Linked DNA regions of Ovis aries. The protein of the gene in region 1 interacts with the protein of each later gene in a biochemical or structural test. Links are inferred from orthologs where the notes say so. Each region holds a gene or a part of one and is shown in the gene's direction. Other genes may lie near its edges.

Region 1 (5,411 bases):
CTGGCAGGGATTTCTTTGTATTTGTACTGTTTGGAGTATGCTTAGCTTCTTGGATATGTATGTTTATGTCTCTTGTCAAATTGGAAAGTTTCCAGCCATTATTTCTGGGAATCCCTTTTCAGCCCAGCCCTCTCTCTCTTTTCTGTCTAGAACTCGGACTGACATAAATATTTAGTTCAGTTCAGTCTCTCAGTTGTGTCCGACTCTTTGCGACCCCATGAACCACTGCACGCCAGGCCTCCCTGTCCATCACCAACTCCTGGAGTTCACTCAAACCCATGTCCATCGAGTTGGTGATGCCATCCAGCCATCTCATCCTCTATTGTCCCCTTCTTCTCCTGCCCTCAATCTTTCCCAGCATCAGAGTCTTTTCACATGAGTCAGCTCTTCGCATCAGGTGGCTAAAGTATTGGAGTTTCAACTTCGACATCAGCCCTACCAATGAACACATAGGACTGATCTCCCTTAGGATGCATCGACTGGTTGGATCTCCTTGCAGTCCAAGGGACCCTCAAGAGTCTTCTCCAATACCACAGTTCAAAAGCGTCAATTCTTTGGCACTCAGCTTTCTTTATAGTCCAACTCTCACATCCATACATGGCTACTGGAAAAACCATAGCCTTGACTAGACGGACCTTTGTTGGCAAAGTAATGTCTCTGCTTTTCAATATGCTGTCTAGGTTGGTCATAATTTTCCTTCCAAGGAATAAGTGTCTTTTATTTTCATGGCTTCAGTCACCACCTGCAGTGATTTTGGAGCCCAGAAAAATAAAGTCTGACACTGTTTCCACTGTTTCCCCATCTATCTTACATGAAGTGATGGGACCAGATGCCATGATCTTCATTTGCTGAATGTTGAGCTTTAAGCCAACTTTTTCACTCTCCTCTTTCACTTTCATCAAGAGGCTCTTTAGTTCTTCTTCACTTTCTGCCATAAGGGTAGTGTCATCTGCATATCTGAGGTTATTGATATTTCTCCCAGCAATCTTGATTCCACCTTGTGCTTCCTCCAGCCCAGCGTTTCTCATGATGTACTCTGCGTATAAATTAAATAAGCAGGGTGACAATATACAGCCTTGACGTACTCCTTTTCCTATTTGGAACCAGTCTGTTGTTCCATGTCCAGTTCTAACTGTTGTTTCTGACCTGCATATAGGTTTCTCAAGAGGCAGGTCAGGTGGTCTGTATTCCCATCTCTTTCAAAATTTTCCACAGTTTATTGTGACCCACACAGTCAAAGGCTTTGGCATAGTCAATAAAGCAGAAATAGATGTTTTTCTGGAACTCTCTTGCTTTTTCCCTGATCCAGCGGATGTTGGCAATTTGGTCTCTGGTACCTCTGCCTTTTCTAAAACCAGCTTGAACATCAGGAAGTTCATGGTTCATGTATTGCTGAAGCCTGTCTTGCAGAATTTTGAGCATCACTTTACTAGCGTGTGAGATGAGTGCAATTGTGCGGTAGTTTGAGCATTCTTTGGCATTGCCTTTCTTTGGGATTGGAATGAAAATGGACCTTTTCCAGTCCTGTGGCCATTGCTGAGTTTTCCAAATTTGCTGGCATATTGAGTGCAGCACTTTCACAGCATCGTCTTTCAGGATTTGAAATAGCTCAACTGGAATTCCATCACCTCCACTAGCTTTGTTCGTAGTGATGCTTTCTAAGGCCCACTTGACTTCACATTCCAGGATGTCTGGCCCCAGGTGAGTGATCACACCATCATGATTATCTGGGTCATGAAGATCTTTTTTGTACAGTTCTTCTGTGTATTCTTGCCACCTCTTCTTAATATCTTCTGCTTCTGTTAGGTCCCTACCATTTCTGTCCTTTATTGAGTCCATCTTTGCATGAAATGTTTCCTTGGTATTTCTACTTTTCTTGAAGAGATCTCTAGTCTTTCCTGTTATATTGTTTTCCTCCATTTCTTTGCATTGATTGCTGAGGAAGCTTTCTTCTCTCTCCTTTCTATTCTTTGGAACTCTGCATTCAGATGCTTATATCTTTCCTTTTCTCCTTTGCTTTTCACTTCCCTTCTTTTCACAGCTATTTGTAAGGCCTCCTTGGATAGCCATTTTGCTTTTTTGCATTTCATTTTCTTGGGGATGGTCTTGATTCCTATTTCATGTACAAAGTCATGAACGTCCTACATTTGTTCATCAGGCACTCTCTATCAGATCTGGTCCCTTAAATCTACTTCTCACTTTCACAAATATTAGATTTTTTTTTTTTTTTTTGGTTTTAGCCCCACAGTCCCTGCAGCTCTATTCATTTCTGTTTTTCATTTTCTCTGTTGTTCAAATTTAGTAATTTCTGTTGTTTGAATTCACTGACCCTTTCTCAGTCCTCTGCATTCTGCTGTTGAGCACATGCGGTGAGCTTTTTATTTCGGTTTTTATACTTTTCAGTTCTAAAAATTCTATCTGGAATTTTTATATCTTCTATTTCTTTGCTGAGACTTTCCATTTCTTTTCTGAGGCATTATATTTTTCCATTTGCTTTTAGCCTGCTTGTTAATTGCTTTTTTTTGTGTGTGTGTGGCTACTTTAAAATCTTTGTCATAATTCTAACATCCCTGTCCTCTTGGTGGTGTTTGGAGATCCTGTTTCTTGGTATGATGATTAGTTTTTAATTGAAATCTGGATATTTTCATTTTATAAGATTCTGGTTTTTGATTCTTCTGTTTTGGGTGGCTTTTTCTGACATTGTTTCTGCAAAGTGAGCATGAGGGGCTGGAGGGTGGGCACCACCTGGTTAACTGGAAGATGAATGTAGACGTTTCCCAGTTGGCCTTTGTTGCTGCTCAAGCTGTGGGATTCTCCTGCTACTGCTTGGTGTAGGTGAGAGTTTGGGGGACTCAGTTCTGATCAGGGGTGAAAGTTCTGGCTCCCAACTTGATGTTCTCCAGCACCACCTTGGTTGGGATGTGGACACACCTCATTAGAGGCTCACCAGAGGTCTTGTGAGCTGCTGATGTTGGTGGGGGTTGGGGCCATAATTTTCTCATGCTTGCAAGGTGTTGACACAGGCGTCCAGCTGGAGGGGTGGGGAAACCGCCTCTGCTCCACCTTCCCAGAGGCTTTTTTTTTTAAGTGAAGCACATTATTTTCTAATTGAGCTTTCTTTCTGATGTAAAAATAGTTTATTATGATATCGTTTATGTAAAGTTAGATACTGTTTGTAATTGAACTTTTAATTTCTAATATTAGTTTCATGTGTGGTTTTAAGAGAGAAAGTGAGGCCTCACACGCTCTGTATAGTTTCCCCCCCATGTTAGAAATCTACAAAACAGCATCCCAACTAGGATTTTGACATTGATGGCTACCTTTTGCTCTAAGTGTTATCTTTAAACCTGTATTTTAATAAAGCAGCATTTAAATGTGAAGATTGTAGCACTTTTGGAATAATCTGCCACAGCAGCATGTAGATATATCTTACAGTTTGTTGTTACTGAGGAAAGTAACAGTGCATAACATGACTAGTATTTTTCACCAGTTTAAAACAATTCTGAAGTAGCTTTTATTGTTCTTAGAAAGTTAGTAAAGTTGGGGGTTTCTTCTGCAAGAAATTACCTTGTATTCAGTTATGAATATTGATATTTATTATATAAAATAACACATAATGGGTTCTGTGATTTTATAAAATGTGTAGTAACCAAGTGTGTAAAACCTGATCTCAGTTGTCTACAAGGTGCTTTGTGGCAGTCAGACTTTAACAAAGTGTTTTCCTCAGCTTCAAAATCAAGAACTGCTTTCTATAAAGAATCCGTCATTTGATTTGATCAGTTAGTACTCAAAAAGGGTGCTTTAATTTATCCATATACTTTTTCTGTGGCCAGGTGTTTCAACCCTTACTTGCAGAGAGAACCTTCATTACTACTGTAGATTATAAGGGAGAAGGAGTCTTTGAGGGCATGTGCTCATTCAGGTCAGTTGATGAAGCCACAGATAGTGATGAGTAGAGGGTCCTTTTCTTTAGCTCTGGAAATAGAATTCAGTTTACTCATCATGATTTGATCATTTAATAGGTACACAGATGCAATCAGCAAATATGAATCTGTCATGAAAACAGAGCCAGGTGTTCATGAATACACAATTCGTTCAAAAGAAAGGATTTGCCACTGCTTTTCTAAGGTAAATTGCTGACTCATTTCCAGAATTGTAAAACTTGACATATGGAATAACAACCATAAGTTCTTTTCTTACGTTTACCTTTAGGATGAGAAGCCTGTTGAAGCTATTCGAGTATGTTCAGAAGTTTTACAGGTAGAACCTGACAATGTGAATGCTCTGAAAGACCGAGCAGAGGCCTATTTAATAGAAGAAATGTATGATGAAGGTAAATCTTTAAGGAATTTGATACGCAATACCTCGAAGTTGATATATGTGCAGTTAGTCCGTTTAATATCCTTTTGTTTAGAACAAGTTTACCTGGAGATGTTGGTGATTTTAGAAAAATGGCAGAGAACCTAAAAATCATTTTCTTAGTAAATCATACTTTCTTGGTGGAACATGAAAGATATACCATGTAAGGAAAGAGTTCTGCTGTTGAATCCAGTACAGAGGAATATAAAAATAAAAATTTTAGCTTGCTTTATTGTAGACAAGTTAGAAAAGATGAATAACAAACTAGAAAACTCAAGTTACAGATCTCATATCATGCAGAGGTAATCACTGCTCATTTTGGATTTATATCTTTCAGAGTTTTATCTATGCATATATATGAGTGTGTGTTTTATGCCTCTGTACGTATTCTGTGCATATACATGTTAGACATACATCAGACATATATGTGACGTATATGCCTAAATATAAAATAACCCTCTATGATCCCTAGAAAGTGTGAAAGTGTTAGTCACTCAGTTGCTCAGTTGTGTCCGAGTCTTTGTGCCTCCATGGACTATAGCCGCCAGGCTCCTCTGTCCATGGAATTCTCCAGGTAAGAATACTGGAGTGGGTTGCCATTCCCTTCTCCAGTAGATCTTCCCTATCCAGGGAGTGAACCTGGGTCTCCCACATTGCAAGCTGTTAGTAAATGTCAGGACAGCTGCTTATCCAGCTTTGTTCAAGTAGCAGAGAGAGTTTCCTGCTAGATGTTGTAAGCACCTTGAATAAAAGCAGTGCTCTATTTTTGGAGGATAACCAAGGCCAATACAGTAGTCGTACAGAATCCTTTCATATATATTGTCTTGTGACCTTTTCCATGTGACCTTATACTAAGAACATCTAAATGAGATGATTTTAAAAGAAGTGAGACTTATAGCCCTTAATGACAAGTTTTGGTTTTAAAACAAGTAAAGCATTTAAGATTGAAAACAGTAAGGGTATGTTTCTGGGGAAACTTGATTTGTGATACTCTGGTTTTCCCCCCTAATAATTGCTGCATATTTATTTAATGAAATGTGCAGTTATTTTAA
Region 2 (5,411 bases), on another chromosome or scaffold:
TCTGTCTATGGATTTACTTATTCTGGATGTTTCGCATAAATGGAATCACATGCTCTGTTACTGTTTATGTCTGACTTCTTTAGTTTAGCATGGTTTGACGTTTAACCATGGTATAGCGTGTTTCAATACGTTACCCTTTTTAGGGCTGAATAAGATTCCATGTGTAGATGTACAGCCTTGTGTTTACCTTTTCTGCAGCTGATAGATACTTGATTTGTTTCTACTTTTGGATTATTGTGACTAGTGCTGCTTTGCATATTCCTGTGTAAGTATTTGAAAACCTGTTTTTCAATTCTTTGGATATACACCAAAGGGGTGAAATTGATGGGTGGTATTTGTGGGTCAGCTGGTAAGAGAATTCTCCTGCAATGCGGTAGACTTGGGTTCGATCCCTGGGTTGGAAAGATCTGCTGGAGAAGGGAAAGGTGACCCATTCCAGTATTCTGGCCTGTAGAATTCCATGGACTGTAGAGTCCATGGGGTTGCAGAGAGTCAGAAACGACTGAGTGACTTTCACTTTCACGGTAATTCTAAGTTTAACTCTTTGAGGAACCGTCAAATATCATAGAGCCTGCATTACTTTACATTCCATCAGTGATATATGAGGTTTCCAATTTCTCTATATTCTCACCAATACATTTATTTTCTCTATTATTATTATTACCAGCCTAGTGGGTGTGAAGTAGAATCTAGTTGTGGTTTTGATTTGTATTTGTCTAATAAGTAATGATATTGAACATCTTTTCGTGTGCTTGTTGGCCATTTGTATGTCTTCTTGGGAGAAATATCTATTCAATCCTTTGCCTATTTTTTAATTTCTTAACTCTTTTTATTGTTGAGTTGTAAAAGTTCTTCGTATATTCTGGATACCAGATCTTTATCAGATATATTATTTATAAAAATCCCTTTCTGAAGACTGTCTTTTCATTTTCCTCATAGTGTCCTTTGATATGCAAATATTTTTAATTTTGATGAGGTCCAGTTTATTTATGTTTTCTTTTGTTGCTATGCTTTTGCTGTCATAGGTAAGATTCCACTGCCAAATCTAAGATTGTGAAGATTCACCCTTATATTTACTTTTAAAGTTTTACAGCTTTGGCTCTTATATTTAGATTCTATATTCTTTAGGTTTTATTTGTAATTTGAATCATTGTTACTGTCTTCATCCAGTGAGAACCATAAACTAGGGCCTAATTTGTCTACCAAGTAAATTGTCCTAAAGCTGACTTCTGAAAATTTCAAGTGGAAGTTTTGTGGGGTTTCATAGGAGAATCTTTGTCCGTACAACTAAATCCTTCATGATTTCATAAACTTTATATATACACTCAACCTTTTTATTCTCAACAAAAATAATTCTAATTCTCTTCCTTCAGGCTTTTATCTTTTTAAGCAGATGGACAGACTTGCACTTGACACTCAGGGGAAGCAGAAAGAAAAGTTAAGGAGAAGGACGTCCATCCTTTTTTGGCCAGTTGAGTTTTGAAAGTAGAAAATCTTGGAGAAATTAACTTGATTTTGTAGTCCGCGAGAGGGAGAGAAAGATCTTGTAAGAAAGTTTTCTCCGGATTTTTGCGGGGCTGAGATGAGTCGTATAAAGGAGAGTCATCTTACCCTGTTTTATCTCTTAAACTGAATTGGGGAAATTAAATATTTTCTGAGTATATCACTTCTTTCAAAAATCTCTTTTTTTGTAGGTTACTAGAGGAAAAAAATGGCCACTGGTCGTTCACCATGTTTCTACATAGAAGAACTTAATAAATACCAACAAAAGAACTGTGTAGAAGTTAGGTATTGTGAACTGGCTAAGACAGGACTTCCACATAATTATAGGTAAGTTGCTATAAGAAAAGGTATATCCATATAAAATTAAAACTGGGAGAATAGCAATTTTGGCACAATTTTGAAGTCAGTTCTTTAGCATGAGAGCAAAGCTGCCAGAGAAGATGGTGAGTCTTTTCGATGTAAAGTGATAACTTCAGAGGACTCCAGAGAAAAAACGGTGTGTAAACCTTTCCATGCTTCACAATGGTGCGCTGTTTTGCTCTTTGGGGTGACTGCTTGGATTCTGTGTGGTGGTGGTGGTTCAGTCATTCACTCATGCCCGACTCTTTGCAACCCCGTGGACTGCAGCACGCCAGGCTTCCCTGTCCTTCACTATCTCCCAGAGTTTGCTCAAACTCATGTCCATCGAGCTGGTAATACCATCCAACCATCTCATTCTCTGTCGTCCCCTTCTCCTTCTGCCTTCAATCTTTCCCAGCCTCAGGGTCTTTGCTAATGAGTCAGCTCTTTGTATCAGGTGGCCAGAGTATTGGAGCTTCAGCTTCAGCATCAGTCCCTCCAATGAATATTCAGGACTGATTTCCCTTAGGATTGACTGGTTTGATCTTGCAGTCCAAGGGACTCTCAAGAGTCTTTCCCAACACCAGAGTTCAAAAGCATCAATATGACTATTGAAAAAACCATAGTTTTGACTACATGAACCTTTGTTGGGAAAGTAATATCTGTGCTTTTTAATATACTGTCTAGTTTGGTCATAGATTTTCTTCCAGGGAGCAAGCGTCTTTTAATTTCATGGCTGCAGTCACCATGTGCAGTGATTTGGGAGCCCAAGGAAATAAAGTTTGTCATTATTTCCATTGTTTTCCCATCTATTTGCCATTAGAATGTTGAATTTTAAGCCAACTTTTTCGCTCTCCTCTTTCACCTTCTTCAGTAGGCTCTTTCTTCACTTTCTACCAAAGGGTGGTGTCATCTGTGTATTTTAGGTTATTCATATTTCTCTTGGCAGTCTTGATTCCAGCTTGCGCTTCATCCAGCCTGGCATTTCGCATGATGTACTCTGCGTATAAGTTAAATAAGCAGGGTGACAATATACAACCTTGACATACTCCTTTCCCAATTTGGAACCAGTTCATTGTTTCATGTCTGCTTCTAACTGTTGGTTCATGACCTGCATATGGATTTCTCAGGAGGCAGGTAAGGTGGTTGGTATTCCCATCTCTTTAAGAATTTTCCACATTTTTTTGTGATGCACACAGTCAAAGGCTTTAGTTTAGTCAATGAAACAGAAGTAGATGTTTTTCTGGAGTTCTCTTGCTTTTTCGATGATCCAACGGATGTTGGCAATTTGATCTTGGTTCCTCTGCCTTTTCTTAATCCAGCTTGAACATCTGGAAGTTCTTGGTTTATGTACCGTTGAAGCCTCACTTGGAGAATTTTGAGCATTACTTTGCTAGCAGGTAACATGAGTGCAATTGTACGGTAATTTGAACATTCTTTGGCATTGCCTTTCTTTGGGATTGGAGTGATAACTGACCTTTTCCAGTCCTGTGGCCACTGCTGAGTTTTCCAAATTTGCTGGCATATTGAGTGTAGCACTTTCACAGCATGATCTTTTAGGATTTGAAATAGCTCAACTGGAATTCCATCACCTCCACTACCTTTGTTCATAGTGATGCTTCCTAAGTCCCACTTGACTTCACAGTCCAAGATGTCTGGCTCTAGGTGAGTGATCACACCATCATGGTTATCTGGGTCATGAAGATCTTTTTTGTACAGTTCTTCTGTGTATTTTTGCCACCTCTTCTTAATAGCTTCTGCTTCTGTTAGGTCCATACCGTTTCTGTCCTTTATTGTGCCCACCTTTGCATGAAATGTTCCCTTGGTGTCTCTAATTTTCTTGAAGAGATCTCTAGTCTTTCCCATTCTATTGTTTTTCTCTATTTCTTTCCATTGATCACTTAGGAAGGCTTTCTTCTTTCTCCCTGCTAATCTTTGGAACTCTGCATTCACATGGGTGTAATGTTCCTTTTCTCCTTTGCCTTTTGTTTCTCTTTCTTTTCTCAGCTGTTTGTAAGGCCTCCTCAGGCAACCATTTTGCCTTTTTGCATTTCTTTTTCTTGGGGATGGTATTGATCACTGCATCCTGTTCAGTGTTATGAACCTCCGTCCATAGTTCTTGAGGCACTCTGTCTATCAGATCTAACCCCTTGAATCTATTTGTCACTTCCACTGTATAATCGTAAGGGCTTTGATTTAGATCATACCTGAATGGCCTAAATCAAATTCCTTATGATTATTCTATGTGGAACACAGGTTAAAATTTTCAAAGGTAGTCATAGAAGGCAGTTATGATTGGAATGCTAGTTAAATAATGCATGAATTTATGATGTTCTTTGAATTTTTCATTGTAATCAGGTTTACATATCAAGTTATAATAGATGAGAAAGAATATCCAAAGGCTGAAGGTAAATCAAAGAAGGAAGCCAAAAACGCTGCAGCCAAATTAGCTTTGGAAATGATTAATAAAGACCGTAAGGTGAGTAATTGCCTTCTTTTTCCATTGTGAAAGGGAACTCACAAATATCTATGGCATTTTTCCCTGTCCTATGAGAAAATACTCACATGCAGAATAAAACCATTCACAAGTTCTTTTGCTTTCAAAGTTTAGTTCAGTCTTTTTCCTGGGCTTATTTCTATAGAACCCTGAATGAGAGGTCCATCTCAAAAAGATGGGCAAGATGGGCACTACCTATTTAGAGTGCCAGCAGCAGTAACATACTCTAAGGAAACAGTGAGAAATGAGCTAACAGGATCTGGAAGGAGCCCCTGCACCTGCTTGAGGGAATGCAGTGGAAAAGGGCAGAGAGAGAAGGAACCATGAGGAAAATGGTATATTAATATACAGAGGGCAGATGGTGCAAAAGTAACATCTGTATAGCTGGTATTGCTGAAGATGCAGACAAAGTAAGTAGCTAGTACAGAAAAAGCTGTCTCTGAAAAGAACAGTAGAAAGTATTTATGAAATAAAGAAAGAGCTACCTGCAGATTGAAACCACTCAGCGGCTCAGAAGATACTGAAAAATATGGAACCACCAAGAACAACACTGGCCTTTGTGAAAGGACTGAGCTCCAGGGATGAAGAAAGAATCCTGCAAGTATCCAGGCAGAACAACTTATACAAAATATAAAAATGAAAAAAAATCATGCTGCCCATGCTACCCTTAAAAACCAGACGACACTGGAGCAGCATCTGTAAAATGAGGCAGAAAGTCATTTTACATGAGACAAAAATGAATCATTCTCAAATTTTCAAAATTTTTCAGAATTTCAGTATTCAAGATACTTTCATAAAAAATCTTACTCAATGGGATCTTCCTGGTGGTCCAGTGGTTAAGACTCTAGGCTTCCACCTTAGGGGGCACAGGTTTGATCCCTGGTCTGGGAACTAAGATCCCAAGTACCATACAGTGCAGCCAAAAAAATACATATATTTTTAAAATTTTACTTGAAGATGTCACCCTTTTAATCAAAATTGAGCAAAATAAATCAGGAAAACCCACAAACTTTTAAATTGCTAATGAGCCAGAAAACCAAGTCATGAAGTCAGAAAAAGAACAGTAGAGTAC
Region 3 (6,090 bases), on another chromosome or scaffold:
GACAGTGGCTAATTCTGTGAAATGCTGTTACTAACCATCCCTACCTCTACCCAACACACACTCCTCCGCCAGGCATTCTGAGATGTTTCCAGCCTATGTGGTATTTCTTGGAACCCATTTGGGAAAAGTTCCACTCCATAAATCCTGGCAGAGAGCCAGGAAGAGATATGGGAGTCTAAACTAGTAAAGACTGCTTCTTTTTGATGGTTTGATGAAAAAATTAGATAATCAAATAAGTGGGCTATTACAAACTTGCCTACAGACTCAGGGGGAAGCAATTTATAAACTATTAGAACAGAGTTTGGGGCAGAGGAGAGGAAGCAAATTATCTCAAATTGTTCATCTTCTGCACAACACTATTATCTTCCTCTTTAGACTTTGCTATTTCATCCAATAGTGCCCTCATTTTCCTACTGACAAGAGGTTCAAAACCTCATTCTGTTCTACCTGCCTGGAAATGTGCCTAATTTCCTAAGGATCCAGTCCAGGAACCACCTCATGCATGAAGTCCACCCAGCCCTTGGTGATCTTATTTCATAACCTCATACTGTCAGTGCTCAGCAGTGTTCTAAACACTGAAGGTGTTCAAAAAAATACCTGACAATGTTGGTATTAGTTACTAAAAATAGCTGATATGTGGGATCAGCACAGAGGCAAAAGACTGCCTGAATTCAAGGTCTAGAGTGTTACCTTTTCTTACTCTATACACATCATAGCCTGGACCTGAATCCTCTGGTTTATATTTTTCAGGACCAGATCCTCCTTCTCCATGAGACAGGATACACCCAAATGAAGTGGGTGGAGGGGAGTCCAAAGCACAAGATTAGAATGAAACAAACCCAGCTCTTCTGTGAGGGGTAGGTCTGTGAGAAAGTCAGGATGGGAGGCTAACTCCTGAGTTCTGAGGGGCTCCCTCTGAGTCATTTGGGCTGGACAGGCCCTTAGCATTGCTCCATATGTCAGCATGCCACTGCCTTCTGTACCATACCTCAGGCCCTGACTGTGAAGCAAGTTGGAACTGTAGGCCTTCTTTCAGGGTCCTCCCAGCAGAGTATGCCTCCCTAGGCACACAGAGAGAAAGACTCCAAGAGGTCATGCTCCCACCTTTCATTCGTATGATCCGAGGCAGAATACTGAGAACAAAGGAAGAGGACAGCCACATCAAGCTAAGGTCTGGTCAGTGAAGAAAAAACTTGTTAAGGGGAAAAAATTAAGCACAAGCAAGTACCAGAAGTCAATAGCCAAAAATTCTTCAAAGTTGTGGAAAATGGCAAGGAAGCTGGCCCACGAGTTCAGTAAAGAGTGACTAGCAGAGATATGACATACAGAGAGGAGCAGTAAAGACGCTGAAAATAAATGAGCAGCAAATGAAGGTGCCTAACTGCTAGGCAGCTTTCCAGTTTGGGTTCAGCCACCCCACATTCCTTTCACCACGGTGTGTGAACCAACCCTGAGCTGTCCTGCTGGGAAGGCTGGTTGAAGACAAGTCTGCAGCAGCTGGCTGGCAGGGAAACGGATTTTGGGATGGGATACAGGCAGAGGCATTTCCTCACCAGCTTCTCATTGGAGATGACTGCATGCTTCAGAATTCCTTACCTTTTTCCTCACACATGAGCTGTTTTTCCTAGTTTCCTTTGAAAGATCAGAGCAAAAGTCAAGTTTCCGAGGTTTAGGTTCATCCTTCAAAATACCCGATATAACTTTTGCAGATACTTTCCTCATATTCAAGTTTTCTTTCAGAATGAGCCTAACAGTTTCTTTATCTAAATTTAACTCTTCGGCCATCATCCTCACGGTTAACTGCCTATTCGAACAGACCAAGTCCTTGACTTTCTTAATATTTTCATCCGTCCGGTGGGTGACAGGACGACCACTTCTGGCATCATCTCGAATGTCTTCGCGTCCTTTTTTAAACCTTTTGTGCCAGTCGAAAACTCTGGCCCTTGACATGACTTCATCCCCGTAAGCTTCTTTTAAAAGATGGTGAGTCTCACTTGCAGACTTGTTCAGTTTCACGCAAAATTTGATACTAATCCTTTGTTCTAGGTATCGGTCACTCATTTTGGGGCTTAAGCAACACAGAACGTTAAAATGCCACAACTGTGAAGGAAAGACAGAGGGATCAATCTCTATAGGGGTGCAGGTGGAATCAAGCCGCTATTCTTGCTCCTCTGGAAGCCTCATGAGGTAAGAGTAATTGCTTTTCTGAATCTTAACCCCTGGGGCTTCCAATCTAGAAGCTAACGGGGCCACAGTGTAGCTGCAAAGCTGGGGAAAATGAAATCTCCTACAACCCACGTCTGCGTCCAACTCGGGCACGAAGATCTAATGGGGGTGTGCAAATCAGTCACCAAGATCGTCCAGTTGACCGCGGCTCTGAAGAGTCTAAGGCAATCTCTGCAGTAGAAGCCTACGTGGTGGCAATTTAAAGAAGCAAGAAACGACGCATCGGTGTTGTAACGTGCAGGCTCTGCGGAAACCCGCGCACGCCAAACCTACCGGAGCTGCAGAGGGCTTGGAGCCTCTAGAGTCCCTGGAGACACGCCCGCATGCGCCATTCCCTCCCTTCGCGGGTAGGCCGTGCGCAGGCGCACTGCGGCAGCCTGCGCCAGGCCCCGCCTCTGCTTCGCCACACCCGAGCGGGCGCGCTTCCTTGCGCGTACCCGCCCGGGGAGAAGTCGGCGGAAAGGAGGGGGCGGGGAAGGAAGGCTGAGGGAAGAGAGGGCACCCCCGGGCGCCAGGGTGCATTGTGGGAAGGAGGCGGCAGCGTCCCGGGCGGGCGGGAGGTGCACCAGCGGCGGCGGCGGCGGTAAATCCTCCCGGCCGCTCACAGCACTGTGGAGCCGCGTCCCCAGCCCGGCCTCGGACCGCGGCGCCCCTCCTGCCCCTCGCGGCTTCTCGCCCGCCCCTCCCCCCCAGCGAACCGGCCCTCACGGGCCGGCCGGCCGGCCTGGCTCCCCTCCCCGGCCCCGACGGGCGGGCGGGCTGCCCTGAGGAGGCGGGGAGGGGAGGGCTGGGTCGGCCGGCGGGCAGACAACGATGCCGAACTTCTGCGCGGCCCCCAACTGCACGCGGAAGAGCACGCAATCGGACCTGGCCTTCTTTAGGTTCCCGCGGGATCCGGCCAGGTGAGCGGCGGGCGCGGAGCTGGTAGCCCGGGCCCTCTTCGGCGGTTCGTGCTGCCAACCGCTGGCCCTGGGCAAGCTCCAGGGCTAAGAGGAGCGTATTGGGGGGGGGGGGCGCACAATTGTTGACCCAAACCCGGCTCCGAGGTGGGGAGCTGGCCTGGAGCGGTGGGCGGCGGGCGCTCGGGGGCCTCGGAGCACGTGTGTCCGCGGGGGCTCTGCGTGTTGGGCACGACTCGAATAAGAGGCAACTGGGCGGCGCGAGTGGGTAAGGTGGGTTCTCGCCCTGATTTGCTTATTGTGTGACCTCGGACAAGCCGCTTTCCTCTCTGGGCTTTAGTTAGCCTAGCTGTCAAAAGAGGGACCTGGAATCTATGGTTGTGGTCTCCGGGGCCCTTCTATCCCCGGGACAATGTTTCTTTTCGAAGTCTGACCACCTTTGATCTCCAGTCACAACTACTCCCTTCCTTCGGACTTGTTCATGGTTCAAATTCTGTTTCTGACCGTTACTCATTATCTCACTTGGTTAATGTGGGGATAACGGGCGTGGGAGAGGACGGGTACGCGAGAGGGCTTGGTAGTTGTTATTGAAACGTCATCCTTGAGGTAACACACCCGCTCTCACTTATATTTAGAGAGTGATAGAGTAGGGACTGTATTTGAAAGTCTGAGGATTTTTCCTTGGCATGTCTTGTTGGTTCATTCATTTCAGGTCAGTATCTACTGTGTGTGTCAGGGCACTAACGTTAGAGGTCCCAGAAATTCAGAGTTTACGAGACAGCGTTCCTGCCTGCAGAAAGCTTACAATCAATATAAGGAGGTAGATATATAATGTATATATAAGTAGCCAATTATAATATAGCGTGCTGTTCTACAAATATTTATAGAAGGCCTACTATGTACTAGACATTGTTCTGAGCACTGAGAGAGAATAGATAACTAAAACGAAGACTCTGTTCTCATGGAGTTTACATTCTAGTGGGGGAAAATAAGTAGATACACCGTGTATCAGATGGTGATGAATCAGTTCAGTTCAGTCGCTCAATCGTCTGCGACTCTTTGCGACCCCATAAATCGCAGCACGGCAGGTCTCCCTGTCCATCACCAACTCCCGGAGTTCACTCAGAACTCACGTCGACTGAGTCGGTGATGCCATCCAGCCATCTCATCCTCTGTCGTCCCCTTTCCTCCTGCCCCAATCCCTCCCTGCATCAGTCTTTTCCAATGAGTCAACTCTTCGCATGAGGTGGCCAAAGTACTGGAGTTTCAGCTTTAGCATCAGTCCCTCCAAAGAAACCCCAGGGCTGATCTTCAGAATGGACAGGTTGGATCTCCTTGCAGTCCAAGGGACTCTCAAAAGTCTTCTCCAACACCACAATTCAAAAGCATCAATTCTTTGGTGCTCAGCTTTCTTCACAGTCCAACTCTCGCATCCATACGTGACCACTGGAAAAAAACATAGCCTTGACTAGACGGACCTTAGTCGGCAAAGTAATGTCTCTGCTTTTCAATATGCTATCTAGGTTGGTCATAACTTTCCTTCCAAGGACTAAGCGTCTTTTAATTTCATGGCTGCAGTCACTATCTGCAGTGATTTTGGAGCCCCCCAAAAATAAAGTCTGACACTGTTTCCACTGTTTCCCCATCTATTTCCCATGAAGTGATGGGGACCAGATGCCATGATCTTTGTTTTCTGAATGTTGAGCTTTAAGCCAATTTTTTCACTCTCCACTTTGACTTTCATCAAGAGGCTTTTAGTTCCTCTTCACTTTCTGCCATAAGGGTGGTGTCATCTGCATATCTGAGGTTATTGATATTTCTCCTGGCAATCTTGATTCCAGCTTGTGCTTCTTCTAGCCCAGCATTTCTCATGATGTACTCTGCATAGAAGTTAAATAAGCAAGGTGACAATATACAACCTTGACATACTCCTTTTCCTATTTGGAACCAGTCTGTTGTTCCAAGTCCAGTTCCAACTGTTGCTTCCTGAGGTTTCTCAAGAGGCAGGTCAGGTGGTCTGGTATTCCCATCTCTTTCAGAAATTTCCACAGTTTATTGTGATCCACACAGTCATAATATTATGGAGAAAAAGCAAATGTTTGACGGGAGGGGCCCGGGAGGGTAGGGGAATAGGAGTAGTAGGGGAGGCACCGGAGAAGGCAGTGGCACCCCACTCCAGTCCTCTCGCCTGGAAAATCGCACGGACAGAGGAGCCTGGTGGGCCGCAGTCCATGGAGTCGCTAAGAGTCCGGCAGGACTGAGCGACTTCACTTTCACTTTTCACTTTCATGCACTGGAGAAGCAAATGGCAACCCACTCCAGTGTTCTTGCCTGGAGAATCCCAGGGACCAGGGAGCCTGGTGGGCTGCCGTCTATGGGGTCTCACAGAGTTGGACACGACTGAAGTGACTTAGCAGCAGCAGCAGGGGAGGCACAGTTGCTATTTTAAACAGGATTATCAGGAAGGCCTCACTAAGAAAGTCTATTTGAGCAAAGACCCTAAGTAGGTAAGGGAGTCACCCATGGAAGTGTCCAGGGGAAGTACATTTCAGTCTGTAGAAACAGTAAATGTAAAGGCAGGGCATGCTTGTTAGAGGTACAAGCAGGAGTCCTCAAGCTGATTTAAGGAAGGTCAGTCACTCAGTCGCGTCTGACTCTTTTCTCCACTCCATGTATTGTAGCCTGCCTGGCTCCTCTGTCCATGAAATTCTCCAGGCAAGAGTACTGGCGTGGGTTGCCATTCCCTTCTTCAGGAGATCTTCCCTACCCGGGGATCAAACCATGGTCTTCCCCATTGCAGGCAGATTCTTTACCTTCTGAGCCACCAGGGAAGCCCAAAGGGACATGGGAGAGGAAGAGATGAGACCAGAAAAATGTACATGTGTTTGTGGTAGGTGCAAATTGTGTAGGTTATTGTAGGCTGTGGAAAGCACAATGGCATCCTGAGTGAAATAGGAAGTCTTCA

The links.
Region 2: the proteins of DNAJC3 (region 1) and EIF2AK2 form a complex in vitro, tested with the Homo sapiens proteins (2 studies listed by BioGRID). The link is inferred for Ovis aries from reciprocal best matches to the Homo sapiens genes DNAJC3 and EIF2AK2.
Region 3: the proteins of DNAJC3 (region 1) and THAP12 form a complex in vitro, tested with the Homo sapiens proteins (2 studies listed by BioGRID). The link is inferred for Ovis aries from reciprocal best matches to the Homo sapiens genes DNAJC3 and THAP12.

Annotation. Positions count from the first base shown.
Region 1 is NC_056063.1:72,444,870-72,450,280, forward strand, and holds part of DNAJC3 (dnaJ homolog subfamily C member 3), read left to right. Parts: intron 1-4,022; coding exon 4,023-4,128; intron 4,129-4,212; coding exon 4,213-4,333; intron 4,334-5,411. UniProt on the Homo sapiens protein: Involved in the unfolded protein response (UPR) during endoplasmic reticulum (ER) stress.
Region 2 is NC_056056.1:86,918,479-86,923,889, forward strand, and holds part of EIF2AK2 (interferon-induced, double-stranded RNA-activated protein kinase), read left to right. Parts: intron 1-1,694; 5' UTR 1,695-1,711; coding exon 1,712-1,830; intron 1,831-2,791; exon of another isoform or gene 2,792-2,959; coding exon of another isoform or gene 2,960-2,979; exon of another isoform or gene 2,980-3,164; coding exon of another isoform or gene 3,165-3,242; exon of another isoform or gene 3,243-3,457; coding exon of another isoform or gene 3,458-3,507; intron 3,508-4,200; coding exon 4,201-4,321; intron 4,322-5,411.
Region 3 is NC_056068.1:54,559,803-54,565,892, reverse strand, and holds the start of THAP12 (52 kDa repressor of the inhibitor of the protein kinase), read left to right. Parts: upstream 1-2,686; 5' UTR 2,687-3,039; coding exon 3,040-3,128; intron 3,129-6,090. Other genes in the region: protein GVQW3, read right to left, coding at 1,597-2,061. UniProt on the Homo sapiens protein: Upstream regulator of interferon-induced serine/threonine protein kinase R (PKR). May block the PKR-inhibitory function of DNAJC3, resulting in restoration of kinase activity and suppression of cell growth.